Solanum lycopersicum: one gene and its partners. The protein of the gene in region 5 binds, or shares a complex with, the protein of the main gene of each other region. Links are inferred from orthologs where the notes say so. Each region holds a gene or a part of one and is shown on either strand. Other genes may lie near its edges.

Region 1 (3,962 bases), on a different chromosome or scaffold from region 5:
TTTATCCCGCGAGAAAAAATGAAGCATTTTCAAGTTCAAACGAGCCCAAAGTAGGTAAAGACGGGTTTTGTCGATTTTCATGTGTTATAGCTCATGGATTTTCTTATTCGAATATTTGGAAACAAATGATCAAAATTTTTCATAGACACTTGTTAAGACCTTAGAAATAGAATATGTTCTTCTCGCGAAGAAAAATTGTGAATTTTCAAGTTCAAACGAGCCCCAAAGAAGGCAAAGGCAAATTTTACCAATTTTTATGTGTTATATTTTTCATCAGAAATTTCCAAACAATGGCTGAAATTACTCATGGAAGTCCGTTAAGACCTTAAAATGGAATCAATTTGTCCTGCATGGAAAAATTGTGCATTTTCAAGTTTAAACGAACCCTAAAATAGATAAAGACATATCTTATCGATTTTTGTGTGCATAGCCCATGAATTTTTTTAAATCCAAAAATTTCCAAACAATATGGCCAAAATTTTTCATGGCGTCCGTAAAGAGCTAAGGAATGAAACGAGTTCATCCCGCGGGGAAAAATGATGTATTTTATAATTCAAACGAGCCCCTAAGAAGGCAAAGGTAGTTTTTATCGATTTTAGTGTGTTATAGCCCATAATATTTTTTATCCATAAATCCTAAAACAAAATGACCGCATATTTAATAGACGACCATTAAGACCTTAAAATGGAACCACTTCGTCCTGCGGGGAAAAAAGACACATTTTCAAGTTTAAACAAATTCCAAAGCAGACAAAGACAAATTTTATCAAATTTCTTGCTCTGGGGTTCAGTTGAACTTGAAAATGCACGATTTTTCCCTGCGGGACGAACTGGTTCAATTTATATGGTTTTAACGGATGTCAAAAGAATTTGGCCATTTTTTTATATTCCCGAATCAAAAAGAAAATCATGTGATATAACACATAAAAATTGGTAAAATATGTCTTTGCCTGCTTTGGGCACGTTTGAACTTAAAAATGCATCATTTTTCTCCACGAGACGAGCTAGTTTTATTTCTAAGTTTTTAAAGGACGTCCATGAAAAAATTCGACCATTTTGTTTTGAATTTTTGGGTAAAAATAATTTATGGGTTATGTCATACGAAAATCGATAAAATCTGTTTTTTACCTACTTGTAAACAAAAATTGAAAAAAATGAGGGTTTACCTGCTCTGGATCGTTTGACCTTCAAAATGGGGTGTTTTGATCGTGGTGACTAACTGACTCCATTGATAAGATCTTAACAATCATCCATGTTAATTCAGAAAATATGACGTCAGAGTTCTTATTCACCAAAAATTTCATAGACTATAGCACAGAACACTCGACAAAATTGGGGGTTTACCTACTCTAAACTCGTTTAACCTTGAAAATGGGTCCTTTTTAGCTGTAGTGGCCAATATGCCCCATAGATAAGGTTTTAACTATGTTAATTTTCGGCAAATAACGTTAAAATTCTGGATCACTAAAAAGATGGTTTGACCTTTAAAATGGTCGTTTTGACCGTGACAACCAATTGGCTCCATAGATAAAAGTTCTAACGGACGTCCACAGTAATTTTCAACAAAAATGACATCGAAATTCAGTATTCAAACTCGAAATCCTTAACCGAGAATAGAGTAATCCCATTTATTAGCAGACTAATTTTTGTTATTCAAATCTGGCCGTTGAAGAAGGGGGAAAAAGGGCATGCCCTTATCTACTTATATTGGCCACAACTAAACTAGTTATATCTCCAAAAAAAAAAAAAAAAAACTATAGAGATGGCTTTCTCTGCTGCATTTTCACACACCTCCTTCATATATTCATCATCTTTTTCACAAACAAGAAAAAATAGGATTAATTATAGCCCTTTTGTTATTAAAGCAGAAAATAGTTCATCTGAACCACAAGAAAATAATGAGAAGCCAAAATCTCAAGCAGCAGCAGCAACAACAACTTCTTCTAGTACAACAGCCACCGCAACAAAGCCTAAAAAACCGGTTTATTCTAGTGAGTAGTACTATTTCATGAAAATGTCTCAAATTTCACTAATTTTTTGTTTATAGAAGTTTAGCTTTTTTGTTTTGGTTGGCAGTGAAGAAAGGTCAGATAGTCAGGGTGGAAAAGGAGAAGTATCTGAATAGCATCAATGTGAGTTTTGTTTTTTTTTGCTACTTCACGAGGTAATGATAAGGTTTATGTACACTCTACCTTCTCAGACCTATTTAGTGGGACTTCTTTAATAAAGATATATATACTATAATTTTTTACCAATCAGCATTGTATCCTCTACATGCTTATGAATGATGATAATAATCTGAATTGGAAGTTGTGGACACCCTTGCACTGGAATTTGACTGTATATTTTTGTATAAATTTCTTCAGTATTTGTCTGTTGATCATCCACCTTATTACAAAGGTCTGGACTACATATATGAAGACCGTGGTGAGGTACCATTTTCTTATTTCTCTATAGATCATGTCAAAAGGGATAACAAAATACAATTTGGAACAACATGTTATTTATAAAATAAACTAATCATATATCTGTTTAGGTATTGGATATTCGTATATTCGAGACAGGAGAATATGCACTTGTAAGTATATTTTTTTCGAAATTCAATTTATTATATCAAAACACACCTCGAAACATAAATTTCACTGAATATATAAAGAGATCAAAGTTGAGAGTTTACCTATGCTGCAGATTGGATGGATCGGAATACCAACTGCACCAGCTTGGCTTCCAACAGAGATGCTAATTAAGGTAATTAGCCTTTTGAAATCATTCAAAATACTAAAGCAGCAATTTGCATCATTTCATGAGTACCTTTTATGGTACACTATTAAAAAAACCTCCTTGCACTTCAAATGAGAATCTCTGGTGAAAATTATTTTGGACAAACTCATAGCAATTAACTGCACGGAGGTTTGGGGAATGGACCGGTGGGTTGCTTATATGAACTTAAGCAATCCTCCCAAGTATCCGGAATGGACTGGTGGTTTGCTTATATGAACTTAAGCAATCCTCCCAAGTATCGTATCTTTATTTGATGATACAGTTTCCACCTTGCTAAAAAGCAAGTGGTCTGTTGCGTAATCACACATTCCCTAACCAATAACAAATTTTGCAGTCTGATAAGCTGGATTACGAGAGAATATAGTGGCGAGTCCACAGTTACAGACCAGTACATGCCAGACGAGTAAATCAAAGTGGAGCATCAGATTGACCGCTGCTCATCAGAGATGAAGAGAGATGAGATGGACACACCTCCAGAATTTACTTATTGCTAAATATATTATTATTCCTTAAAGATCACTCAATCAGCTTCTCAGTTGACACTAAATAATCGTTAAATTGATTCTTAAGAAGCTTAATATAACAATCCTGGACTATTCAGTAGGTAAAAGACAGCTTCCAGTAACAATCAAGAGACGTTCTAGATCAACTGAAATATAAATAAACAGCAACATACCCAATGTAATCCCACAAGTGGGGTCTGGGAAGGATAGAACTGAAATATGATATCAGTTAAACACAAAATACCTTCCATATTGAATAGAATGGAGTCGGTTTATAAATGAATATCGAAATGTACGTCTCAATGTACCATTAATTTTTTCATAAAATTATAGTGTACACACAATATACAGTAGGCAGGTAACTGGAAAGTCTCAGTGTACAGCAGCCTGTAAAAAGGGAAGGTGAAGAACAGGTGGTATGGAGTATAAGTTATCTGTATTTTTTTCTGTAAACAATGCTGTACTTGGTATCAATATCTGAAAGCGATGAGGGTGGAGAATGAAATGAAGAAATTAATGAAGAAATGATGCCAGGAAAAATCAGAACTTACAGCCTTCTCCTAGCACGCTTAGTAGCATTCATAAGCTCTGTCAACGAAGCAAGGGGTCGGGGCACTGGTACATGCATAGACCGGTATAATTTCCGCAAACTTGGGTTATAACTGTTTGACAATCCAAC
Region 2 (4,526 bases), on a different chromosome or scaffold from region 5:
AATTAACATGAGCATGCACCTCTTGAATAGAAGGGAATTCAATTCTCAAAAAGATGAACAACAAGAACATATTCAGTGTAGTCCCACAAATTGGGGTATGGGGAGGGTTGAGTGTATGTATACCTTAGCCCAACCTCAAAAGTAGAGAGGTTGTTTACTATTGACCTTCGGCAATTCTAAAAAGATGAAAAAAAAGAAAACCAAAAGATGCTATCTTTATTAAAGTACTTGTCCTGACTCTTGCATCTACAAGCTAAGAATGATGATAAAGTATGTAGCATTGACCACAGAAGGCTAAACTGAAGTAAATCCAGGTAGCTTTTGCATACAATGTTGTTTTAACCACAACGACAAGATCTCAAAGTTTCCTTATTTACAAGAGAGTTGATTGATAAACAAGAAAAAGGAAGATGAAAGGAAAATCTTACCAGTTACCACACTCTGCAATGACCCTCACATTAGGACGAAGTGTCGGGAGTAAAGCAAGAAACTGCAGCTCTGCCTTTGATAAGACCTGAACATTTTAGGTCAAACAGTTAACAAAGATCTAGTCAAAATACTGCTGATGGACTAATTAGATGATGTACACTTGAAGGGGTGGATTTAACCTTGGCTTCTATTATCCAAACCACTAATCCTTTAGCATCCGGAGGAAGTAAAGAAAGCCTATAATCAACTTCTGGAGGAAAATACCATCTAGCTATTGGTTGCTTACCAACATGAGCCTGCAACATCAAAATTTGCAGATGAGAGTCAATTAGACACTGCAAGTTAGTGTTTGAGAATAAGCATATCGTATGCGAACTGCTAAACTTACAGGGCAGACAGGGTGGAATTTGGTAAGAGTGGTTTCAGGGTCACCGAGGCCACGAGCCGAAAGGTCCAAGAAATGATATCCCTGGTACTTAAGACGTGTAAGGTAGCGTCCTTCATAGCCCCCTTCATGAGGAGAGTAAATTGCTATGGCTTTGTGTTCTTCCACATCTGATAACCATTGACCCAAATCAGGTTTAATGAGATCTCCACCTATGAAGTCCTGAAGTTCAATGTTACATCTAATTGCTCCTTTCTTTTGTCTTCCAACTGAATCAAGTCTTCTCGTTCTCACAGCCTTTGATATGCCATTTAATTGTACTCGTTGCTTCTGCAGACCATAAGACTGCACTGCCCCTTGATAACAGGCTGCATTTTGCCATTTTAATTCAGATTTCATGGTACATGACCGAAAGAACAAAGGCATCATAATGAAAAACATTGAACGTTAAGACATCACTCTCAAAATTTAATTAATGCGAACAGGATAACAGTATCATTTTGGTGCTGCAAGTGTGCATTTCCACATGTAAAAGGTAGAAAAAGTTATAAATAAGTCATTTTCCAAAGAGAACTGATAAGATTATGTTACAGGGAGAACTGAAAGGGTGCCTACTGTAAGCAACCTGTGAAACTCGAGAACCAGAAGTCAGTTTTTACCATTGTCAACAATGGCTAGAAACATTGCCAATGCACTGCTTAATGTGACAGTGCATAACAGTAAGCACAAACATTTTCAGCTTTATAGACCAATATTAGGGAAAGTCTGGATTTCATACCATGTAAAACAATAACAATCGGGAACAAATGTGAGTTGGAGCTGAATCTCTACTCACCCAAAAAACAAAACTTCAAAACATAATTAAGTAAATGTACACTTTCACTACCTACCCCACTAATATTTACATATAACAAGCTGGAATCACCCATTATGATATCAAGTCTTGATCTTTTTAGTTCTTTAACCATCACCCTAATTTTGTAACAACACATAATAGCAACTAAGCATACGTCTTCACACACACGCACACCGTGATATTGAACTATAAATCTGAAAATTGGGAACAAATGCGAGTAGAAGCTGAATCTCTACACACCCAAACCATAGCTTAAAAACAGAATTAAGTAAAGTGTACATATCACTCCCTACTCAACTAAATATTCACATTTAACAAGATTGAATAGTCCATTAAGTTAAGTCTTGATCTTTTCAGTTCTTTAACCATCCCCCTAATATCAAGATATTATAACAACACATAATAGCAACTAAACGTTATACATCTTCACACACACACACACACACACCATGATATTGAACCATAAAGCTGAAAATTGGGAACAAATGTGAGTTGAAGCTGAATTTGTACACAACTTCAAAACATTATTAAGTAAAATGCATACTTCCACTCCCTACATAACTTAATATTTACATTTAACAAGCTTGAATCAACCATTAAGTTATCAAGTCCGTAAAGATATTGTCATCCGGACCTAACTCAATCGCAAAACCATACACCCTCCTTCACGCTTAGGCCCCTTGAGAGCGAGAACCAAAAGCTCACACCGGGAATGAACCTGGTACTCATACCATGTAAAATTAAGTTTTAGGCCTATCTAAACTACCTCAAAGGTAGGAGGTGCTCAAGCCTTAACCACCAATATGAACCCCTTTTTTTTAAAAAAAAATAAAAATTAACACCCCACCTCACACAGATGCAATATTATTACAAAGTCTTGATCTTTTCACTTTTTTAGTGATCACCCTAATATCAAGATATTGTAACAACCCATAATATCAATTAAGCATTATAAATCTTCACACTGCGCACACACACAGAGAAAGGGGTTATTGGGGATGACCTGAAGAGGAACAGGGTTGGTCTTCAGTGGAAATATTGGGGCGCCGCCGGCAAGAAGACCCATTGCTAGTAATCAAGAACCTCCTAGTGCTGCTGCTGCTGCTGGTGGTGCTAGGGAAGGTGTAGGAGAGAGTTGTCATTTGGGTATTTTGGTGGCAGTGTGTGAGTGGTGGCAGTAGGCAGCTATAGCAACAGAGACTGTGGAAGGACCATTGCAAACTTGGACAAAGATGACTACTTTGTTCCTTGCCACTCAATAAATGTGCTGATAAACTTTACAATAAAGAAATTACAAATAACAAATATTTAAATATGCATAATAATATTAGCTATATAAATTTATGGGATAAGTTCTATATTTTAAAAATTGAAATGATGTTTTGGGGAGAATTTAAAATTTGAGATAACATAATCTCAAATTAGTTATTCAAATTTTAATTTTATATTGTATATTCAAACATAGCTAGAATAATAATCATAAGGTGAGAGTTCAAACTCTATTGTAACTTTTTTAATGAAATAATTTTGTGATTTAGAAAAGAACAAAAGCCAAACTTAAACCTAATTTATATATTTTGGATTGAAAATCCAAAATCCAAGTAAAGATTATGAAATTTCCAAACATCCTATTTAATTGCATAAGTTGTCCTTCAAATAAATTAATTTTTATTCTTTTATATTTTGAATTTTTAAAATAAAACAAAGTTAAGTATTCATTGTAAAATTCATAAGGAGTAAGAACGTTCACCACAGATAAAATATGAATTGTGATACGACCATTAACATCTAAAAAAGACAATGTTTCACAATAATTACTAGTAAAACTTTTGAAACACATAACAGAACTCCAAAAATAATTGGAGCACATATATCTCCTTCCTTTAACTAGAACACGTACTATGGTGCTTTGATTCCTGCATCATATTTTGAAAATAAATTTATACCTTATAAGACATAAGTTGTTTAAGATAACAAAATATAACCAACACTCAATATATAATGATTTTAAAATATAAATTACCAGTGAAAATATTATTTATATAGTATTAAAACATAAAAACTAAAACCAGCTCTGTTGTAAGAGGGAAAATAAAAAAGACAAACTTTAGGGCTTTTTATATAGTAATCTCCCTATCGAAACCTCAAAGATTTCCCATTTCTGCAAAACCCAAATGGAATCCAAAGAGGACGAAGCCTCCCAAAGCGGAGCAAACCCATGGAAATTCAGTCCATTTCAAGCAAAGATTTAGTTTTGTTAAGGCTTCCGGTGAAATCCCTTTTACAATTCAGGTCTGTGTCGAAATCTTGGCTTTCCTTAATCTCTATCCCTAAATTTGTGAAGACGCATCTCTTATTTTGTGCTAGTAACAAGGAGTTATGTTTAAGGTTGCTATTTATGTTGGCTAGTTATGTGTAGTGATTTACATCGCCATTCTGTAAAGGAGGTAATTGACTTGGATTATCCAGGTAAAATTTCCAAAGACTATCCTTGGCTGGTGGGTTCGGTAAACAGATTGATTTGTGTTGCCTATGTAACAAATTGCATGACTTGTTTATATGGAATCCGTCAATTAGAAAGTATAGCAAGTTGCCTAGTTATAGACTTAATCGATGTGGTGGATATCAAGTGGAGGAACCTGGGGATAGCAGATTTGGTTTTGCGTTGATGTGCTTCAAGATGATTACAACGTAGTGGGAGTTTGCCCTGTTTACAGAAATATGCGTCTATGTCGTGTTGAGGTCCAGATATATTGTCTAAGGAGTTTATGGGAGGCGTATTAACGGAGTTTAAAGATAGATTTTTTTTCCATTTTCGGGGTAAGCTTGTGTAAGGGAAACTTCATTGGATTGAAA
Region 3 (3,244 bases), on a different chromosome or scaffold from region 5:
AGTCAATTTCTACAAATACATTCTCGAAACATTCAATGTATGATATTGTTTATTCGCACAAGTAAATGTAAGATTTGAAGTTCACATTGAAATTGTTTATTCGCATAAGTAGATGTAAGATTTGAAGTCCATTAATTTTTACGATAATTTTAAATTAATAGTATATATTAATTATTGAATTTATTATCAAATATTTAATGAATCCTATAGAGACAAAAAAGAATTCTTTTCGTCCCCATTCTGGCTATTGATAGGAATAATTTACGCTCCAATTTATGCAAATTCAATGTGTACACTATATACACCTTTTATCAATACTTATTATCTCTAAATTGTGTTTAATAATGTATTAAAGAAAAATGGTATGAAATAGCAAAATATGTTATTCAAATTAAATAATATAGCTATGATTTATTTTGTTTGTAATTTGTCACAAACATTCCATTCTTTTGTAATCTGATTCGCTATACAATTAGTCATTTCCGATATATAATTAGACATTTTATATATTTCGATATAGAATGTATAAAATGTGTTTGTGTTTGTATGAAACGAGAGAAAAGATTATATACAAATACATACATACATACATACATACATACACACACATATATATATATATATATTCGTTCTATATACTTATGATTATATAAATCTAGATCTTATTATACAAATTACAATTTATAAATGAATTTATACAAAACTGAACAATCTGAATAAAATTGGATGTATCTAGCGAATTATACAAATCAAAAACTCCATAGCAAACATAAAATTTATTATGGAACGCAATTATGCAAACTATATTTACAACATACAAATATGATTTTTATGTTTGCAATTTGTGAAAAATTACGTCTTTAAAAAAACAACTTTAGAGGCTATTTAGATGAACTTAAAAAGTAACTTTTAAATCAAAAATAAAATGTCAAACTTAAATGATTTATAAGTTAAAAAATAAAAGGCAGAGGAAGACCTACTTTTGATTTTAAACTTATTTTAAGTCATTTTAAAGTTATTTTTAACTTTGTCAAACACTTTCTGACTTATTTTAAGCCATTTTTTACTTACTCTAAGTTATTTTTTATATTTATCGAACACTTCCAAAAATAAAAATAACTGACTTTTAAATCAATTCAAACGCCCTCTTATTTAATCAACTATATCTTCTACAAGACCCCTTTCACATGTGTGGTCCTGACTTTTAGAAATTCCTTTTGATAACAAATAGCAACATAGCGCGAATCTAATACCTCTATATACTCTGATCATCAAGTTAAATCATATGATCATTTTTTAAAAAAATCTTAAATTATTAAAGAAAAACATAATATATCTCGTGTAATTTCATAAATGAATATAAAAATTATAATTTACTTTTAACGCAATTCCTCACGTGTGGTCCTGATTCTTTTTGAAAGGATGGTGTAAAACATGAGTGCAAGTTTAATCTTTTTCCAAGGAAGATAACATCATTCATGTGTTTCATTTGTCAATAGAAGATATCAAAACAAAAACAGATTGGTGGTCAGAATTTGAAAGGACAAATTACAGTTTCCCATTTCTACTTCTCATCTCATCCTCTACCATCATCTTTCCCAAATCCAAAGTTCTTGAAAAAAAATCAAAACCATGGCTTCTGCTTCTTCCTTTCAACTCTCAAGCCTTCAAATTCAAACCCCACCTCTTAAAAAATCAAACTTTCTTGGTCAATCTGTCAATCTCAACCTCAGTAGTAGTGTTCATACCAAATCAGCTATGAAATCATCTTCAAACTCAGTTACACCAATAGCAAAATTCAATCTTTATGAGATTCTTGGAGGTAGAGGTCTGTGTAATGGAGAAGAGGGTATAGAGAAAGAGCTAAAAAAGTCGATTTCCGAAGAACAAAAGGCAGTAGGATCAGCAGCAGCAGCAGCTAGTGATGATGATAATCAAGAAAACAAGGAGACTGGGGAGATACCGGAGGACGGATTTGAGAAAGAAATGATGGGGTTTACTGGCGGATTTCCGGGAGGTGAGAAGGGTCTAATGAAATTTATAGAGAAAAATCCACCACCACCACCACCCAAGAAAACAGAATCAAGTATGGTTTCTGGTTTTAATCAAAGTCTTGTGAAGAAACCAAAGCCACCTGAATTGCCACTTTTGTTACCTGGGATGATTGCTATTGTCAAGAATTCTAATAATCCATATTATATGTATTGTGGGATTGTGCAGAGGATTACTGATGGTAAGGCTGCTGTGCTTTTTGAAGGTGGGAACTGGGATAGGTTGATATCTTTCAGGCTCGAAGAACTCGAACGTAGAGAGAAAGGACCGCCAATGGTGAATCTTAAGTCTGTGATACTTGAGAAGATGGTAGAAAAGAGCTCTGAAGCTTGAATTGCTTCAGTTTTTGAGTAGATTGTTTGTTCTTTTGTCTTTTGGGTTGTTGTACATACAAGCTGTAAGTTTTGTAATGGCAATGGCATGTAATAAGAAATGCAGAAAAACTTTTGTGCAGGAAGAGTTCTGTCCCAAATGAGAAGTTCAACTCTTAGCAGTGATGTTCGAAAGAACTCTTAACAAAAACAACGTAAAAAATAAGAATCAGGTAATTCAAACCACTTGCAAAACATATAGTCAAATATTTAATATGATTGCACAAGATCTAGTTTTGTTTAAGTAATGAATCCTAGCATGTTCTTCTGATCAATTCATAGATCATTAGATACCATCAGTAATGAGGATCTGAAATATCACACGTTTTATCGAGCAAAGAGAGAGTCTAGCAGAACAACAACATACAGTATTTAACAGTGAGTGATAAAACAATTCTTACTTTTCACAAGCATGAGGTACCTCTGACACCACATATGGTGGATCTTAGACTCCATCCAATTGGACAACAGGTCGATATCGATGTAGATAAGTTCAATAATGATAGCTAGCCTGAGAGAGAGTATACAATGGTGCAAACTGCAAGATTTTGACAGATTCTCAAACAGATGGACCAAAATTTTATAATGCATAGTCTGCAAATGTTTACATTCAGTATCAAGGTAGTAAGCCAATCCACGCATTAGCCTCCAATGTCTAATGATCATTAATTAAAGATGTCATTTGCAGAATACACTTATAATTCCAGAAAACTGTGTCAGTTATACCATACATGCAAAAGAAATCACCCAAATGTAAGCCAGACGTCGAAAAACTATGTCCTCTGTCTGCACATCTTCGCCTCAAAATTAGTTGCAGCCAC
Region 4 (4,227 bases), on a different chromosome or scaffold from region 5:
TTGTAAGTTGATATGTTTACGTTAGGTTTTATGCTTTTTAGGAGTCTTTTAATAGCGTGTTTGACGAAGATACTTATTCAGATCAGCTATAATTTGATAAGTGCATCTTATCCAATAATTTTGAAAAAAGTACTTTGATTCAGTTTGTGTTTAACTAAATTATTGAAAAGTATTTTTATTAGTAATTTATATTTCACTAATATTTTCAAGATGTATTTTTACGCATGTCATAATTCAACGAGTAGCATTATTACTAATTTATAAGTACTTATTTTTTCGCTTAAAGTTTGATCAAGTATTTTTTGTATTTAAAATATTTAATCAAACAAACTATTAACGACCCTTATACTAATAGGGATTACAAAAGAATTCTAATTATTTCTTTTTTTCAGTTAAGTTATAATTCGTTTATATAATTTTATCATCCCAATCCATTCATTTCTCATCTATTATTTTTTGTAAATTAAAGGTGTTGCTTTAATTTGTAAAGCAATTATTATTAGTCCAACTATGTGGGAGCTAGAGACATTAGATATTTTAGCTGTAAAGCAATTATTCATGCACAATCAATAATGTATTATTTTTGCCTAAATTGCTTTATATCTCTTTATTTATGAAGATAATTTATTGATGATTTGATTTGTTATATCAAAAACTAAATAACATGTATTTCATAATTTTAAAGAAGATATAATTTGTTCACAAAAATACTCTCCAGTCATTATAACAAAAATAATCATTAATTGTCGTTAAATATGTATTTTTAGCGGCAATTGACACTCTTTGTATATGTCCATAAAATATTTAGCAACATTGGTTCTAATGATACTTAACTAATGCCGGTAAAGACTTTCGCACTCTTTATCAATGTCAATATTTAATGCCGCCAAAAATTATTTTTGTTGTAGTGTAGAAAAATAACATCATAGACTTCAAGGGTGTTTCTGTCAGTTTCATTATTTTATTTTGGGATAACTAATCCTGATACCATTACTCTGCTCTATGACGGTGATAACTTATTTCAGGAGTGTATAGTTGAAAAATTCAGCATAATTTAAATGGTTTTTAGTGTCTAATCTCAATGTTGAACTCAAATTTGTTTTGATACGAGAATTGAATGCCTCAAGGGAAAAACATAAGAAATTTGTTCGATTGATAGAAGATTGATCCCAACCCGTCAATGAAATAGGGCTACTAGTGTTCAGTCTTGATTGATTCCGAAAAAATGCGAACCAAGTAAAACTAGTTTCAAATTGAACAAGGCCAACCCTAAGTTAAACAAATTCCAAAATTGGGCCAACTAGAACAAAGCCTCTTACACCATTGACCCAACAACACCAAAATTTATTGGGAAAAAAAGAGGATAAAATATTTGCCAAGTCACCAAAACCTAAGGTCCATTTTGGATTTAGGGAAATCAATTAATATCCATCCAAAACACACACAAAAACCATCAAACACTCCTTAGATTTTTTTTTTCAACACAAAAATGACCACTTTCACAAATCCTACAACTTTGTTCCATCCAAAAACCAAAATAACCAAAACTCATCACACACAATGCAAGACACTACCCAAAATCCAATCTAACTTATCAACTAATGAACAAAACTTCTCATGTAGACGCAAACTCATCGCGACTTTTCTAGTCACTCCATTGACACTAGGCCTACAATTCACCCCTTTAGCATTAGCTGAAAATTGGGGCGTTCGATCATTCTTAAGAGAACATTTCTTTGAGCCTGGATTGTCCCCTGAAGATGCAGTAGCACGAATTCGTCAAACAGCAGATGGACTACATAGTATTAAAGAGATGTTGGAGACTAACTCATGGAGGTATGTATTGTTTTATATACGACTTAAATCAGCTTATCTTAAACAGGACGTGAAGAATGCCTTATCCAGGGTGCCTGAAAGTCGAAAAGAGTCTTATATTAAAACTGTCAATGAGCTTACTGATAACATGGCTGAGGTAACTAACTGTCCTTATTTTCCCTGTTCAGAATTTTTCGAGGTTCTATTCAGTGTTATGGATATTTCTATGTATTTTCTTCGTCTGCAGTTTGATTACTACATTCGAACACCAAAGGTATATGAATCTCGTGTATTCTATGAGAAGACGTTGAAATCAATTGATGAATTGGTGGGATTACTTGCATAATAATATCATCAGGCTCAAAGGTGAGTGAATGTTGTAGCAGAAAAATCGCGTTGGTTTAACAAATAAACTGATCGAAAAACGTTGAAATTATATACAATTTTATGTTCATTTATAAGCTTGGTCTGCGAGTTGATGAAATTGGAATCAAGATTACATACGAGTTTATGAGAGAATAACTATTAGTTGAATAAACGTGATATTTGAAGATGAAAACATTGAAGTAAGGAGGAAATCTTTTCATTATGTGATACAACTGATGAAAATCTTGATACAATGAAATGCAACTGATGAAACTAACATTTACAAACACAATACACACACAAAGGCTAGCAATTGCTAGTGTAGCCAACATCTTCAGCGCCTTGATAAAGCGATAGATGACAAAATTATAAGTATAACCATCAAGGCCATTGCACCAAAAGAACCGATAAGGGATCCAGCAGAACGTTGACAGAAATCTGTATACTGTTGGCATATCGAAAACCAGTTAGTTGAAGTGTTGCCATTGTGTGCCAAATACACAATCGCGGCTGCTGCTGATGCTCCAGATGTGAGGAAAACCAGCATTATCTTCAAAAGTTTTCGCAAAGTATAAAAGATATCAGTACAACATCATAACAAAGTACTAAATATGAAAACTTTAGCAGAAATCTAATGTATTACCGCGTCTAGAACAATGAGCAAAACTCTGCTCTTTCCTGCTCTACTTCTGATAATGTGAAAGATTGAAATAGTGATAGAAAGTGCAAGATATACACAAACTATAGAATTCGAAACCACGAAGAACCTTCAATCAGAATAAGCAAAACAAAAAAATGTGTTAGTTAACCTTTATACTGTTCTATTTCATGTAATAATATGTTTGCAGTTTTGCTTACTTGAACGAGTCGATATCATCATACTGAGCTTCAAAATTTACAATCTGTGTACTGAATGGAAGTGCTTGATCTGCAGTACCCATTGCCACAGCACTTGCTAAGGTTCCAACAAGTGCAACGATACGTAAAACAAGATCAAATACAGAGATTCCTCTGTTCACTCCATGAACTCTTTTGGCCTTTGATCCCTCTCCAGTTTCAATTGATACTGCCTTCATTTTTTCCTTTTAGCTCAAACTTTGAAACTAGAATGAAATTTTGTTGTTATGATTTGTATGTCAAGTGTGATGCGAATTTATACTAACAAGTGAACCAAATCATGTAACAGAGTTACAAATAGTATTAGGTTTTGATGACACATAATTAGTTGTTGCTTTTGCTTATTTAATCAATGAAATGTACAACTTTCTGGTTCATGATATTCCATAAAGTAGTTAAGTCTTGCATTAACTTGCTACACTTTTTACCTGCTCTACTTTCTTCCTAACATGTATTTTGAAAATGTATTTTTTCTCGAGAAAATGTATCATTATATACGAGAAATCGCGATATTAAAACAGCACACGACACGTTGCAATCCATTTGAGAAGGGTAGTATGTATGCATACGTCACTTTTAACTTTATGGAATTGAGAGGTTGTTCCCGATAAAAACTTCAACATTCTTTGTCCTATCTTTTTTTTCTTTTTTAATGTTTTGCAAACACACTTTATGATCATTGATTTATTATATTAGGTCAATTGATAATATACTAATAACAATGGTTATGGTCCTAAATGGTTTTTTGGATTAGGCACAAAGTTCTACTTGAACATAAGAATCAAACATGAGAAATTAGAATACTAGAAAGTAAAATAATGAATAGGTTGACTTTTTGATTAACAATGAGAAATAAAATAAAGAACAAGTTTATGGAGTAGGTCAAAATCTATCCAAAAAAAAGTTGTGAAACGTGTAATTTCATTTTTTCAATTCAAAATTTTAACAAAAAATTATTCCTTGGAAAAAGAAAATACTTATTTTCATTTATATTTTGACTATTCCTTGCATCATAATATAATAAAGATCAACAATCTAAATTTCAGACGTTGCTTTCGATATCGTTAGCATGTCCACCACCAATATCTTCGTCTTTCCAAATACATAGCAGATCTTGATTCATCGATAGTAAAACCAATGGAAATCAAA
Region 5 (4,135 bases):
TAACCTAAATTAATTTAAAAACCCACCCATTCCTAAATTAGATCCGCCCCAAATTCAATTAACCCATCTTTGAGTATATAACAGTACCTCAGACAGAGCACCTCCTGTAGAAGACATAATCAAACTGGATTTTGCACCATATCTGAAACTTGAAGATCTTACTGATGACCATATTTTTACGAAACAACGCCAGTGTTAGAATTCACAGACACCATACCAGCAGAATGAGGAGTATGATCGCCGAGCCATGGGAAAACGAGTCGAGAATCAGGTGAAGCACCAAGAAACTTTGGCAATGGTGAAGGCTCATAACGCCTGCTGCTACTACTGGAACGACTATCACGATGAAGGGTATCTTGCCACGCCCATCTACCATCATCCCGTTTCGATCTTCCTTGAAAGATAACACAATTTGCCAGATCAATTCAAATGCTTAAGAAATGTCACAAAATTAAAATGGTATTGAACTAGCTGAATTTTCCTAAGATTAAACCATTGAACTAGCTGAATTAAATCAAACAGTAATGGCATTACTGTTTGATTTAATTCAGCTAGTTCAATGGTTTAATCTTAGGAAAATGTTTTAAGAATTAAGGTGAAGAGTGAGTAGAATAAGAGGAAAGATAATGAAAGATAGAGATGGATGTTAAGCAATTAGGAGACTTTAGTTAGTGATAATACTTTTTATTTATAAGTTGCTCTGGTTTCTTGATCTGCAAAGAAAAAAGAGGAAGGTGATGTGTGTGTGTTGAAAAAAAAAAAGTGGGGGTGAGGGGGGGGGGGGGAGTGATGGATTTTATTATCCTTTTGAAGTTCTTCAGGGCAAGAAATCGAAGAAGAAGCTGGAAATTTCTTCATGAAGAAGAAAAGACAATGGAGTCATGAAAATTGTGAAAATGGGAGGAATAAGGTTTTAGCATATTTTAATTAGATGGTTATTTTTAAAATTGGGTCAAGTGGGCGGATTTAGTTAAAATAGGTGGGTTTAAAATTATTTTAAATAATTAAATTACAATCAATGGTTGAGTGCCACGTAATTAAAAATTATTATTTAATTATTTTTAATTTTGGTTTGTTAATGAATGGGTAAATTTAGACCCAAGGGTGGGTGTGAAGGGTATTTGGGGGCCAATAGATGGATGGAGGGTAATTGTGTACCATTTTCAATATTTCGAAGGTATTTTAGACCCTTTTCTATATTTTTAATTCTTTTTAGTTATAATTTTATGTTAACATTAGTAATGAAAATACATTTTTTATGTATTACTTATTTATATTTTAGTTATATCTTCTATGATACATAAAATAATATATAATTTTTTGTAATTTACACCTACATTAATTATAAATGTTTCTAATAAGTTTTATGCTAAATAAGTATTGAGTGTAGCAAATATCCCAATGATTTAAATTCCAATATCCAAGATGCGTATGATGTGTGGTAAAGGAAGAATAAGACAAAACCAAAATTGTTTGAGAAAATAATAGTTGTGAGTAAGCAGAAGAGTGTGTTTTTCTTATGTGTTTTCTTAACCTTATAACTCGGATAAAGGGAATAGATGAACCGTGTGTTTTTCTTATGTGTTTTCCTAACCTTATAACTCGGATAAAAGGAATAGAGGAACCCAAAAATAACTATCCCAAACTCAAATCATGAGCTTCACATTCATCAAACCCTCTATTCCTAGTCCTACATCGGAATTGCTGCACCCTTTCAGTAAATCAGTTAAAACCATTACTTGTATCTCAAATTCAATCTTTTTATAATTAATTCTGCTTAACTAATTACCTCTTTTCACTTTCTCAGCAGCTAAGGCATTGTCCAACCTCACCTTTTGGAAATAATGCAGGCAGGAGGCACCAGGTAGGTTTTACATGTTATTATTGATTTGAACAAGTATGGTTTGCAAAAGCATAATTAATGCTGTGGATTTCTATGATTAGATTGAAAGAAATAGGGTGAAGGCACTCCCAGATTGGCCATTAATGGCAGTATTAGTTGAGCATATGGAAGGTCAAAGAGACCTCATAACTCATAAATCTGTTTGGCATCTTAGTGATGAAGCCATGAAGAATGTCTGTGAGTAATCATTACTTACTAATTCATTTTTATCATTCTAATTCAAAATTCTCACACCTAATTTTTTCTCCATTGTAGATACATTTTACATCATGTTCACTGTTTGGGGATGCTGTTTCTTCGGTTCTACCAAAGTAAAATTTTTGAAATTAAACTTCATAAAATTGAGTTGTATCTCATTATTATGTGTCTTTTTTCTTTTAGGATCCTTACTATGATTCAGAACAATACAGAGGAGATGGAGGTGATGGTACTGGACATTGGGTCTATGAGAAGGTACAGTTTTTCTTTTCCGTTTTCTATCAAGGTTAGAAAATCAAAAGGGAAAAATACCCTTTCTTGTTCGCGACAGAGAAATGTTTATAGGTTTCAGTTAATATGTCGTTTGGTTGGGAACAAGTTATATTAGGATTAATTATACGAATTAATTATTTGATCATGTAAATGTGATAACTTATCATAAATAATCTCAGAACTGCTTAATACCTCCAACCAAACACACGGATAAAACATGGATTATCATAGTTTATACCTCACATGCGAGTTTTAGCTTTGACAGGTGAAAAAAAGGTTTTTAAAGAGTTAATTGTAGTCTAAATCCTGAATTCTTGATGTGAATGTTTTTTCCATTAAAAGAACATCTCTCGTTTCTAAAATAAAACTTTACTGAAATAATTTTATGCATATAAATGTCAAAATCATACTAGCTAGTTTCGAATTGTCTGAATTTGTTTCAACATGAATTTTGGCACCTAAATGTCCTATTCAAGATATATAGATATCTTTACAAGGTGGAATGCCATGATATTTGTGTAGTGAATGATACTACAAATCTGATTTTGTGATTGTGCAGCAAGAAGACATCGAAGAAGAAGCGAGAGCAGAGCTGTGGCGTGATGAACTGATAGAGGAGATTGAACAAAAGGTTGGGAGTCTTCGAGAGCTTGAAGAAGCTGGGAAGAAGGAACAGTTGGTCAAATGATCATCTTTATATGTGCTAAGAACAAATTTTATGATGCTTCCCAGTTATGTATATACAATATATGATTTCCAGTTCTATACAACATGGCTGTTTTGCCTTAATTCAGTGTTATGTTGCAAAACTCAGATTTCCCCTTCAAAATGTTGTCTTAATGAACTGTCACAATGTCAACATTTGCACTGTACAGAATCAGTTCTCTTTTTGTATTTGCTACTAGCAAGTCATGCAATGCTCTTTTAACAAGATTCATGGCATACACATCACGAAATCAAAAATTACTTCAATAATAGCCAAATTGTTAACCCTTTGGGTTGGATCAGTAGTTTGACCTTGGGACTTGCATGTTTGAAACCCCCTGCCAGCGAAAGCAAGAAGTTTGCCTTTTGGGTCGAACTCATTGCAGCAGGCTTGCAAGTAGTGAGCTATTGCATAAGAGCGAAAAAATTACCTTGTGCGCACCCAAAGAATAGTGACTGTGAAATCCCGTTGTCTTCAAAAATAAAATTAAAAAATAATAATAATGGCCAATATGTTCCCTCCCTGGTTGAGGAGATTGGAAAGAATTTTGGCTTAAAGCTACAAAAGATATCATCTCTGAATTTACATTCAAGACTGCATAGTTTTTTATTGACTGATAAACATTGTACAAGTGGCAATTTGTGTACAAAAAATAGTGATACGTAGGAACCATGTCTTTGATAGATCTCCAGAAAGAATTGAAGATGTTGTTAAAACATTACAGGGAAAACTGATAAAGAGAACCTGCTCCTTTGATAAAACTGAGAGATAATAATCACTCAATTTTGAATAACTCACTTACAAATTTACTCAATTTAAAATGATTTACATAGAAAATCACTCAACTTTATTTGATAACTCAAAAGTTACTAAATTTAATAAAATAATTAAGAAGTCACTCAAGAAGAGTGTTGGAATCGAAGACGAGAGGTAATCACTAATTATGTTAGTGTAGAGGCATTTTAATATTAAAAGAAATTTGCATATTCACATTGTCATATTGACCGTTTCATTGTTTCATTTATACATACGTTTGTGGATATTCATTGACAGAA
Region 6 (3,831 bases), on a different chromosome or scaffold from region 5:
ATATAAGGGTAATATATTCCCTTGAAGAGGTATGTCAAATATGTCATAAACTCCTAGAATATTCACAAAGAGATCAAGACATCAAATATTGCCTTACAATCAAATATATCTCAAAGAGGTCCAAATTATCATATATTCGAGAAATATGTTACTAACCACCCTCGAATAACAGATTTAATTCAGAGAGAAAAATCAAGAGAACTTATACTCGCAAATACCAATGAAAAACTGTGTTTCATCATATTTTATAGGCATAATACATATATTGGACCCTAAACTTGACTTCAAATTTTGACTTTGACCTCCAACTTTAATAGTGCACAAATAGACACTTAAACTATCATACCATTAAATAAATAAACACACGATTTTTGGAGACAAAGAGAGTGAAATGCAAATGCTCCCACGTATATTAGTGAGCCACTCAATGACTGCCAACTAATTAAATATTTTATGCGTCCATTTTAGAATTTAAAAAAAATTTAAATGAATTTTGATTTGGAAATATAAAAAAATATATAAAAGGGATTCATTAATGGTGGAGTTGTTATTTCAGCATTTTTTTACCATTGTGGACCTCAAAAATTACTACTCCTAACTCGCACAAAATACATGCACATTACATGTTTGCCAGGTACGACTCGCGTGTTTATTTATTAAAGGGTTAGATAATTGAAGTGTTTGTTTGTTTACTATGAACGTTGGAGGTCAAAGTTAAAATTTGAAACCAAGATTAGATATGTATCATGCCGTACTTTATTTGTGCTTTATTTTCCATCACTTTAAAATTTGTCGTTAACACTTCACCGCTTCAACTACAAGGGGATTTCAGTTACTTATGGGATAGCCAGAAACATTCTTTGTACTGTAATTCAATAAACAAATTGCAAATCCTGTTTCATGGAACAAGACTCTATCATTGCAGCTCTTAGAACAATTCTAAATGTCCAACACCTGAAATGAATCAGCCACCACTTTAAGTTTGTTGCGGAATTTTCTCCATCGCCTTTCATTCGCTCCCACGATTAATGTGTAGTATCTCCCTGTACGAAATGTCTTAATACGAATGCAGAAAAATGTAATGTACAGTTAAAGGAAACAAACCAGATCACTTACCATTTGCAATTGCTATAGTAGCAAATGCTGCCCGCGAAAAATTTGGAGATGTCAATACATATTCAAAGGTGAAATAGTTTTTCCCATCCGTAGTTCTCTACATAATTTTGAACAAAAATATGGTGACTAATTGAAAAAGAGCTACGTATATTGTACAATCAAGAGAATAAGAAAGGATCATACCTCCTTCATTTCCATTATATTTGCCACCTGATTCGGTGCAGAGTAAACATGTTTTACCAGATCGGGCACAACCTTTAGGAAAGTAGAAATAAGTTGGTATGACGAAGAAAATACATGTCTTTTTTATATTTTTCTCCTCCTTGATAGCTTAATAAAAAACGGCTACATAGATGAATAGTACCGCGATTTACCTCTTGCATTGGCCCCAAATCATGGATATCTGTTTTATCAGTTGGTATAAAACTAAGTCTTACATTTTGCAGTTGTAGATACCTATCTTTAAATGCAGAATCATGACCTCTGAAATCGAATTCCTGTACATACATCCAAAGTCAAAATGAGAGTTTACTAATTTCTAAAAATTCATTTCTTAAAAAAAAAAGAAGCAACATACCCTCCAATCTGATGGATAGTAATACGAATAACCATCTCGTTTGTCAACAAAGATTTCATAGTTCTCCGGTACTCCTGCATACACGTCATTTAATTATAAAAAGTAAAAAGTTTAGAGAATAAAAATTATAGTAACAGAGTACCTTGAGCTAGAAGGGGAGTCGCGGGTAATAATAAACCCAACGAAAGAGCCCCTGCTCCTAATAGATATGACCTTCTCATCAAGCATCCTGAAACAGAGATACTAGTAGAATTTTACCACGGAGAAAATGGCGTAAATGCAAACATGACTTCATAATTGATCGATATGAAATTTTCTTACTCTGTTGATTAGGGGACGTGTTTTCTGATGCCGAACATGTAATAATGTTGTGTAAGCCATGCCTATTCAAATTGTTGGCTGCTGGTGATGGAAGCCCAAGATTCAATGAGAGTGAAGTAGCTGCCATTTTTGTGGACAAAAATCACTAGATTTTTGCTTAACATGTTTATTTTTTCTCCTAATACAATCACTTTTTTTTCCATCATTTTTTCTTGCTCAATAGGATAAGATGCAAATTAAATGTGAGGATGACCTTTCCTGCCAAGGTCCAAATGGGCTTTTATGTCTCTTTCAACTACAACTAAATGAGCTGTGCTTCATATGTGGGGCTAAAATTTGACTATATCCACATTGATAATTTTTACTAATTGTTCTTGCAAATTTTTCACAAGTTTACCATGTCATAAATATCTGTATGTAACAACAGCACAAACTTGAATCCTTGATGGATGAGGCGGATCTAATGTATTGATACCGAGTTTATCTGAACTCAGTACTTTTAATGCGAAATATAAATTTATGTGTAAAAATTCATCAAAATTGCAATAGATAGTAAATGTAAACTTATAACTTAAAAATTAATGGGTTGATCAATGCTAAAAACCTTAACAATTGACTTCGAAGAATTTAAGATAATGATACTTTAACAACTCGACCATATGAAATGTGATATCAAATGCACCCATGTTGATGTGGAAAAACCAAGCACAGGTTCTTTCAATCACTGTATAGCACAAGCTATTTGAAAGGAAATCCAACTGGCGATGCATCAATGATCAATTTACATCCTAGCGTGGAGGTATTCATCAACTGTGTAAATGCAACGCCAAATATAATTGAAGAATGATCAAAGGGTACCAGGGGTGGAGTACGCCATGTTAATGTACCTTGGATGATCCAAATCTCAGTGTATGCGTCTAAAGTTTCAATCCTGAAATACAATATACAGGAAAGGAAAAATAGCAAGCAAACAATAATATTTGTATTTGAATTAATACTAAGGTTACAATCTTTATAAAATATCTCAAAAAGATATTTAATCCCCTGATTCTTCTCTTCACAGATGTTATTGATTTGGCGGAATACTTGCGGCTCAACCCTTGGAGCGAAGACTTCTTTATATGCTGAAAAGCAATTATGTATTCCTGTGTATATGTATTTTTTTTTGTCCTTTTGGTCAGAAGAATACCTCTTTATATAGGCTTGAGTTAGGGCTTTAGGGTATTTTGGTCTGAGCAATTTTGATCCCTGGGCCTGAAGAACATGAGTTGGGCTCATCTTGTCAACTTAATGGAATGATCCAAATGATTTGGACTTGATTTAAGTCATACAATTTTGGCTTAGATATTAATTAGACTTTATCAACCAGTAATTTGACTTGGTCAACATATGGTGATTTAAGATTTAATCCAAATGTAATATGGATTTATCAATAAAACTTCAGTGTTTACAAATGCCCCTACTTTGAGGCTTGTTGAGGTGCTTGATTTGTCGAACTTGTAAAGACAAGCCTTGAAGTATTTGTGAAGCAAATGTTTTTTTTATCGTAGTTGATCTTTCACGAGACATTTGAAGCTTCATGAGAGATGACCATGTCGATATGTTAAGGTCAACATTTACCATAGTCTTTATTACAATATTTTCTAATTTGTAAGAGGTCATTTGAATTTCAGTTGTTTATCAACTCATTTTCAACTTGAAATGTTTCAAGCTGATGAGACTTATCGCATGACATTTCTTCATGGTGTGGTAATTTCATTTGGGTCATCAACTACGAAATGACCACCAATTCAATGAGCAAGGATTGCGTCTACAAG
Region 7 (4,467 bases), on a different chromosome or scaffold from region 5:
GAGCCTGACGATCCTTGAGTTTCCACTTCTCCTCCGTCATGGATTCCGGCTTCACCCCGGTCAACGGTTCGTGAAAATCTTTCTGGTACAGATAATCTTCGATCTGCATCTTCCAGAAACTGAAATCGGATCCATCAAACTTCTTGATTCCAAGCTTCGAACTATCCATCTTCTGTGATCGTGTTGAATCTCCTTAGCTCTGATACCAGTTGTTAGGATCGATTCACGCACACACACTAGATGATTGAAGAACACAAGAACTTTCAAGAGAAAGAGATGAGAAATCTAGAGAGAGAGAGAGAAAACTCAATATTTCGTGGTAAAACCCCGTGAGTAAACTTCTACGACGGTGAGGTATATTTATATTAATAAATCAGAGTATTTTTGGTTACAAAGAATAAATAGGAAAACCTAAAATTAATCAGGCTCCACTACCTAACACTTATTTACATAAGCTTGTACTCTTACCACAATCATAGTCTACTTGATACATTGTACTCTTTATAACATTATATATATATAGAAGGCTTCAACGTGGAGCTCATCATGGGAGAATATTATTATACACAGGTAATAGATGATTTCAAACTAAAATGTTCAATTTTATAAAAAATAAAAAGTAATATTGAAAAACAAAGGTAAAATGTCTTATTTTTGTTCGACTTCAATAACTAAAATATTAATATTATTTTGTCACACTTCAAATACATGTTCATTTTTTGGAGTTTTAGAAACTAAACCTAATGAATCCTTTTTTAGAAAACACGATTTTTGAACAAATAAAACAAAACTCACATCAAAATTGGGAGTACTCAAACATCAACTTCATTGAAAAATATATTGAGAAGACCTAGAATTTCATTCCTTTCTCGTCAGATTAAAAGAGGAGAAAACAAGAGGAGAAAAAGAAAATAAAAAAAATAAGTCAAGTTTAGAGTTTTCGAACTTTTAATGGCAAAGAAAAAACACAAAATTGAAAGTTTTTTTCATTTTATTTGTTTGGAAGATGAAGAGTCACATTCTAGATCTACAAATATAGAGAGAGTATTTGAATGTTTATTTAAAAAGAAGTGGAGTATATTTGATTGAGAGTGAAACGTAAAGTGGTCAATTTATATTTTTATTCATGTAGTACTAATTATTCAAGTATAACTTATTTCATCTCGAACTCGCATAAAATAATTCATGGATTGACTCATAACTTATACATGTATTACTTCAATAGTTTTCTAATTTTCTAATGAAACATAGAATTATGTGTGTTAAAACATTATATCTTGACATAAAAGAGCTATCAAATATAGTATAACTTATGTAACGTAACTCAATCCTTATCCAGTAACCAAACGATCTCGCACTTTAAACCATGGTAAAAATTAGGCTATTTCCTAATATTATACTCTAGTAACAACTTTTTTACCATTTGTAATGGATATGTTTACCTAATCGGTCTATACAAGAGGGTTGAGGCTCGTCATCTCCGTCACACACCATCTTTGTCCCTCATTTTCACCAACCACACACACTCTCTCTCTCTATCTCTATTGCAGTTCAACTCGCCGTACCGGAGAACTGAAATCGGCAACTATGGCAGCTACATTTGCTTCAGTGGTGAGTTTCTTTAACCTCTCAATAATTTGCAGTTGAGCTTTGTTGTTCAGTGTTGCCTTCTAATTTGTAGTAATAACACTAATTTTTGGAAATAGAGCGTTGTTGTTGTTGTTGTTGTTGTTTTAGTTGACTAACGTTTCTCCGTTTACAGTCGAATTTAGGCTCAATTTCAGTTCCACGAGTTGCGAACCCTACATATGCTGCTTATCCGAAGTTGCTGAAATCTTCATTCTCATCGTCAAGCTTATTTGGTGGTTCGTTGCGTCTGGACACTTCTTCAAACCGTTCGGTTCACAAAAAAACCGGCGGTTCATCTGGTTCTATTCAAGCCGCGGTGGAGGTCTGTGCTCGCTCGCTGAGCTAATTTATTAGTGATTGCTCTACTGTTTGTGTGTTTCTTCTTTGATTTCGCCGAAAATTTGATGATTGAGTCAATATGTCTAGCGTTGAGCTAGTAAATATGCGTTCTAGGGTTTCTGTGAGGAATAACTTTTCTGTTTAAGTTCTAGAGCTAAATGTAAGGGATAAGTAGATGAATACATTGGTTGCAGATGGCATGTGTGGCTGAGTGTTACTTCGTTGTCTCATTTTATGTGAGAATATGTTAAATTAGGTTTGTATATAGTATTGGTGATGCTAGAAGAAACTATGAACAACTTTTGGAAAAAAAGTTTATATCGAAGGTTGTGAAAAGAGAAATTTTAGTTCTTCATAATATTTGTGAGTGGAACAAGGACTTTTAATACTTACAACTTGTGAAATTGGTATAAAAATATAGAGATGTCAAATATGACCCAAAATGAGAAGACTGTCATATAATGCAGTGTTTTCTTTTGTTAAGTAGCAAAGTTAATTGTGGAAGCGGATTTTTAAGTCTTGGAGCATTGATTAGAATGGCTGTGGTTCAGTTTTCAGCAAACATGGTGTTATGTTGCCTTTTGTATGGGACTAATGTTCCATAATTTGTTCATTACTTGGTTGAAGTTTTTAATAGATCTGAATGTATTTATTGAAATCCAGGTGGCGGATTTGCAATCCAAAGTGACAAACAAAGTTTATTTTGATATTAGCATTGGGAATCCTGTTGGAAAACTTGCTGGGCGAATTGTAATTGGATTATATGGTGATGATGTGCCACAGACAGCTGAAAATTTCCGTGCACTCTGCACAGGTTCTTTAATAGATTTTATGTTATTAATATTATTGTCGTCGATATTCTTATGACTAGTGCTGCTATCACTACTACCTTTATTGCAGTTTTTGTTCTCATTATCATTATTGCTATAATATTCTGCCTTGTTGCTTGAGCTTCATGCATATAATTCTTTCTATCATTTATGTTTAGCTTATAGTTTGGATTGATTTCTTCCGATCAGGTGAGAAGGGCTTTGGCTTCAAGGATTCTGCATTTCACCGTGTTATTAAAGATTTCATGATTCAAGGGGGTGATTTCGACAAGGGAAATGTAGGTGTCTCAACACCTGGTTTGCTTTCTCTTTCTTTCTTTTTTTTTTCTATTTGTTCCTCTAATTGGCATTCTTCTTGACACACACATCCTTCACCCAGTTCATTGTATTTTCTGTAGTACACTTGGTGTGTTTTGGGTGCTTATCTTTTAGCCTTTTATTTTGCTTGTTTCACCTTGAGCAAGATTTTAAATTAACAGAAATGCAAAATTCTGAATTAGTTCTTTGCCTAGTGTTTTCTTGTTCCTGTTTGGTGGTTTATCCTTCATCTTTTGGATCCTCCATGGCTCCAATTTCTACCATGGAAAACCAGAGAAGAAAAGGTTGTTTTTCAGTTTGTTTCGGTTCTGTGTTTGTGAGACTTCCCTGATGCTTGTAGCAACGTAAGATCTCTGTATTCTAAATTATCAATTTTCATGGTATAAACTTTTTTTCAAAAATAAGTAATGAACTTGCATGATGTAACTTTGCTTGTTCTATGTTTCTGAATGGGATGTCTTCTTTGATTAGTAGTTGAATGTGTGAAAGAGTACATGAGCTAAGATGCTCAGTGGAATATGTACTACTGCCATATTCAATAATTCTGTTTAAGTGGAATGTGTTATTGCACACAACTTGACTGCTCCAATATTTAATATGCATAGATTGATTGAAGAGTGTTCTAGTGTTTGCAGTTCATAATTTGGAAAATTTTCACTTGCCATTCTGGCATATTGTAATCTTCCCCCCATGGATTTAATTTTTTATTCGCAGGGAACCGGTGGTAAAAGCATATATGGTCGTACCTTCAAGGATGAAAACTTCAAGTGTAAGTTGGATTTTCTTCTTAAAAATTGGTTTCAAACTTCTCCTTGTGGTTAAGGCAATGGACCCCTTTGGTTCAGATTGTCAATTGTGTTCAATGTTCTTTTGTGATGAAAAATCCTTGTGTAATTGCAGTGGTTCATACCGGACCTGGGATTGTTAGCATGGCTAATGCAGGGCCTAATACCAACGGAAGCCAATTCTTCATTTGCACTGTAAAGGTATGTGGAATAGGAATCTCAATCAGCTGAATATCTTTTGTGAATACTGACTGCAAAGTTGTTTTCAAAAAAAAAAAAATACTGACTGCGAAGTTGTGATTACAATAGTACTCTTATCATATTGCAAAAGGGTATATGAAATTAAAGAGGTTTATATGCTCATTTTGGAATTTTGACCATTAGGTAGTCATTTTTAGCTGCTCTTGATTCCTAGAAACAAAGAACCACTTGTTTACTTCCTTCCTTTCTTAATGTTTTCAGCCCTTAGCAAAACCCATGTTTTTGAGCTTGTAAATATTTAGTTTGAGCAACATTATTTGTCAAATAATTCTTACTCGTTGCTTCTTATGTGTTGTGATAAAGAT

The links.
Region 1: photosynthetic NDH subunit of subcomplex B 4, chloroplastic (region 5) and NAD(P)H-quinone oxidoreductase subunit O, chloroplastic share a complex: the UniProt entries of both Arabidopsis thaliana proteins name them as parts of the chloroplast NDH complex. The link is inferred for Solanum lycopersicum from reciprocal best matches to the Arabidopsis thaliana genes PnsB4 and NdhO.
Region 2: photosynthetic NDH subunit of subcomplex B 4, chloroplastic (region 5) and NAD(P)H-quinone oxidoreductase subunit N, chloroplastic share a complex: the UniProt entries of both Arabidopsis thaliana proteins name them as parts of the chloroplast NDH complex. The link is inferred for Solanum lycopersicum from reciprocal best matches to the Arabidopsis thaliana genes PnsB4 and NdhN.
Region 3: photosynthetic NDH subunit of subcomplex B 4, chloroplastic (region 5) and NAD(P)H-quinone oxidoreductase subunit S, chloroplastic share a complex: the UniProt entries of both Arabidopsis thaliana proteins name them as parts of the chloroplast NDH complex. The link is inferred for Solanum lycopersicum from reciprocal best matches to the Arabidopsis thaliana genes PnsB4 and NdhS.
Region 4: photosynthetic NDH subunit of subcomplex B 4, chloroplastic (region 5) and photosynthetic NDH subunit of lumenal location 2, chloroplastic share a complex: the UniProt entries of both Arabidopsis thaliana proteins name them as parts of the chloroplast NDH complex. The link is inferred for Solanum lycopersicum from reciprocal best matches to the Arabidopsis thaliana genes PnsB4 and PnsL2.
Region 6: photosynthetic NDH subunit of subcomplex B 4, chloroplastic (region 5) and photosynthetic NDH subunit of lumenal location 1, chloroplastic share a complex: the UniProt entries of both Arabidopsis thaliana proteins name them as parts of the chloroplast NDH complex. The link is inferred for Solanum lycopersicum from reciprocal best matches to the Arabidopsis thaliana genes PnsB4 and PnsL1.
Region 7: photosynthetic NDH subunit of subcomplex B 4, chloroplastic (region 5) and photosynthetic NDH subunit of lumenal location 5, chloroplastic share a complex: the UniProt entries of both Arabidopsis thaliana proteins name them as parts of the chloroplast NDH complex. The link is inferred for Solanum lycopersicum from reciprocal best matches to the Arabidopsis thaliana genes PnsB4 and Pnsl5.

Annotation. Positions count from the first base shown.
Region 1 is NC_090810.1:1,415,223-1,419,184, reverse strand, and holds NAD(P)H-quinone oxidoreductase subunit O, chloroplastic, read left to right. Parts: upstream 1-1,664; 5' UTR 1,665-1,761; coding exon 1,762-1,990; intron 1,991-2,054; coding exon 2,055-2,131; coding exon of another isoform or gene 2,132-2,163; intron 2,164-2,365; coding exon 2,366-2,431; intron 2,432-2,535; coding exon 2,536-2,577; intron 2,578-2,687; coding exon 2,688-2,747; intron 2,748-3,114; coding exon 3,115-3,144; 3' UTR 3,145-3,390; downstream 3,391-3,962. Other genes in the region: uncharacterized protein, read right to left, coding at 3,831-3,962. UniProt on the Arabidopsis thaliana protein: NDH shuttles electrons from NAD(P)H:plastoquinone, via FMN and iron-sulfur (Fe-S) centers, to quinones in the photosynthetic chain and possibly in a chloroplast respiratory chain.
Region 2 is NC_090808.1:66,282,234-66,286,759, reverse strand, and holds the start of NAD(P)H-quinone oxidoreductase subunit N, chloroplastic, read right to left. Parts: upstream 3,083-4,526; 5' UTR 2,813-3,082; coding exon 2,674-2,812; intron 1,183-2,673; coding exon 818-1,182; intron 726-817; coding exon 609-725; intron 515-608; coding exon 429-514; intron 1-428. UniProt on the Arabidopsis thaliana protein: NDH shuttles electrons from NAD(P)H:plastoquinone, via FMN and iron-sulfur (Fe-S) centers, to quinones in the photosynthetic chain and possibly in a chloroplast respiratory chain.
Region 3 is NC_090807.1:67,427,230-67,430,473, reverse strand, and holds NAD(P)H-quinone oxidoreductase subunit S, chloroplastic, read left to right. Parts: upstream 1-1,632; coding exon 1,633-2,385; 3' UTR 2,386-2,509; downstream 2,510-3,244. UniProt on the Arabidopsis thaliana protein: NDH shuttles electrons from NAD(P)H:plastoquinone, via FMN and iron-sulfur (Fe-S) centers, to quinones in the photosynthetic chain and possibly in a chloroplast respiratory chain.
Region 4 is NC_090804.1:2,507,727-2,511,953, forward strand, and holds photosynthetic NDH subunit of lumenal location 2, chloroplastic, read left to right. Parts: upstream 1-1,448; 5' UTR 1,449-1,489; coding exon 1,490-1,972; intron 1,973-2,062; coding exon 2,063-2,161; 3' UTR 2,162-2,181; exon of another isoform or gene 2,182-2,276; intron 2,277-2,376; exon of another isoform or gene 2,377-2,515; coding exon of another isoform or gene 2,516-2,731; intron 2,732-2,824; coding exon of another isoform or gene 2,825-2,948; intron 2,949-3,039; coding exon of another isoform or gene 3,040-3,257; 3' UTR 3,258-3,453; downstream 3,454-4,227. Other genes in the region: casparian strip membrane protein 2, read right to left, coding at 2,516-2,731, 2,825-2,948, 3,040-3,257. UniProt on the Arabidopsis thaliana protein: NDH shuttles electrons from NAD(P)H:plastoquinone, via FMN and iron-sulfur (Fe-S) centers, to quinones in the photosynthetic chain and possibly in a chloroplast respiratory chain.
Region 5 is NC_090811.1:46,151,037-46,155,171, reverse strand, and holds photosynthetic NDH subunit of subcomplex B 4, chloroplastic, read left to right. Parts: upstream 1-1,438; 5' UTR 1,439-1,653; coding exon 1,654-1,725; intron 1,726-1,807; coding exon 1,808-1,864; intron 1,865-1,944; coding exon 1,945-2,080; intron 2,081-2,158; coding exon 2,159-2,214; intron 2,215-2,284; coding exon 2,285-2,356; intron 2,357-2,933; coding exon 2,934-3,062; 3' UTR 3,063-3,183; downstream 3,184-4,135. UniProt on the Arabidopsis thaliana protein: NDH shuttles electrons from NAD(P)H:plastoquinone, via FMN and iron-sulfur (Fe-S) centers, to quinones in the photosynthetic chain and possibly in a chloroplast respiratory chain.
Region 6 is NC_090809.1:53,936,633-53,940,463, reverse strand, and holds photosynthetic NDH subunit of lumenal location 1, chloroplastic, read right to left. Parts: upstream 2,289-3,831; 5' UTR 2,142-2,288; coding exon 2,015-2,141; intron 1,937-2,014; exon of another isoform or gene 1,923-1,936; coding exon 1,836-1,922; intron 1,768-1,835; coding exon 1,694-1,767; intron 1,614-1,693; coding exon 1,491-1,613; intron 1,372-1,490; coding exon 1,300-1,371; intron 1,214-1,299; coding exon 1,117-1,213; intron 1,044-1,116; coding exon 940-1,043; 3' UTR 734-939; downstream 1-733. UniProt on the Arabidopsis thaliana protein: NDH shuttles electrons from NAD(P)H:plastoquinone, via FMN and iron-sulfur (Fe-S) centers, to quinones in the photosynthetic chain and possibly in a chloroplast respiratory chain.
Region 7 is NC_090800.1:5,016,508-5,020,974, forward strand, and holds the start of photosynthetic NDH subunit of lumenal location 5, chloroplastic, read left to right. Parts: upstream 1-1,312; 5' UTR 1,313-1,587; coding exon 1,588-1,611; intron 1,612-1,762; coding exon 1,763-1,951; intron 1,952-2,631; coding exon 2,632-2,782; intron 2,783-2,987; coding exon 2,988-3,076; intron 3,077-3,830; coding exon 3,831-3,885; intron 3,886-4,016; coding exon 4,017-4,102; intron 4,103-4,467. UniProt on the Arabidopsis thaliana protein: NDH shuttles electrons from NAD(P)H:plastoquinone, via FMN and iron-sulfur (Fe-S) centers, to quinones in the photosynthetic chain and possibly in a chloroplast respiratory chain.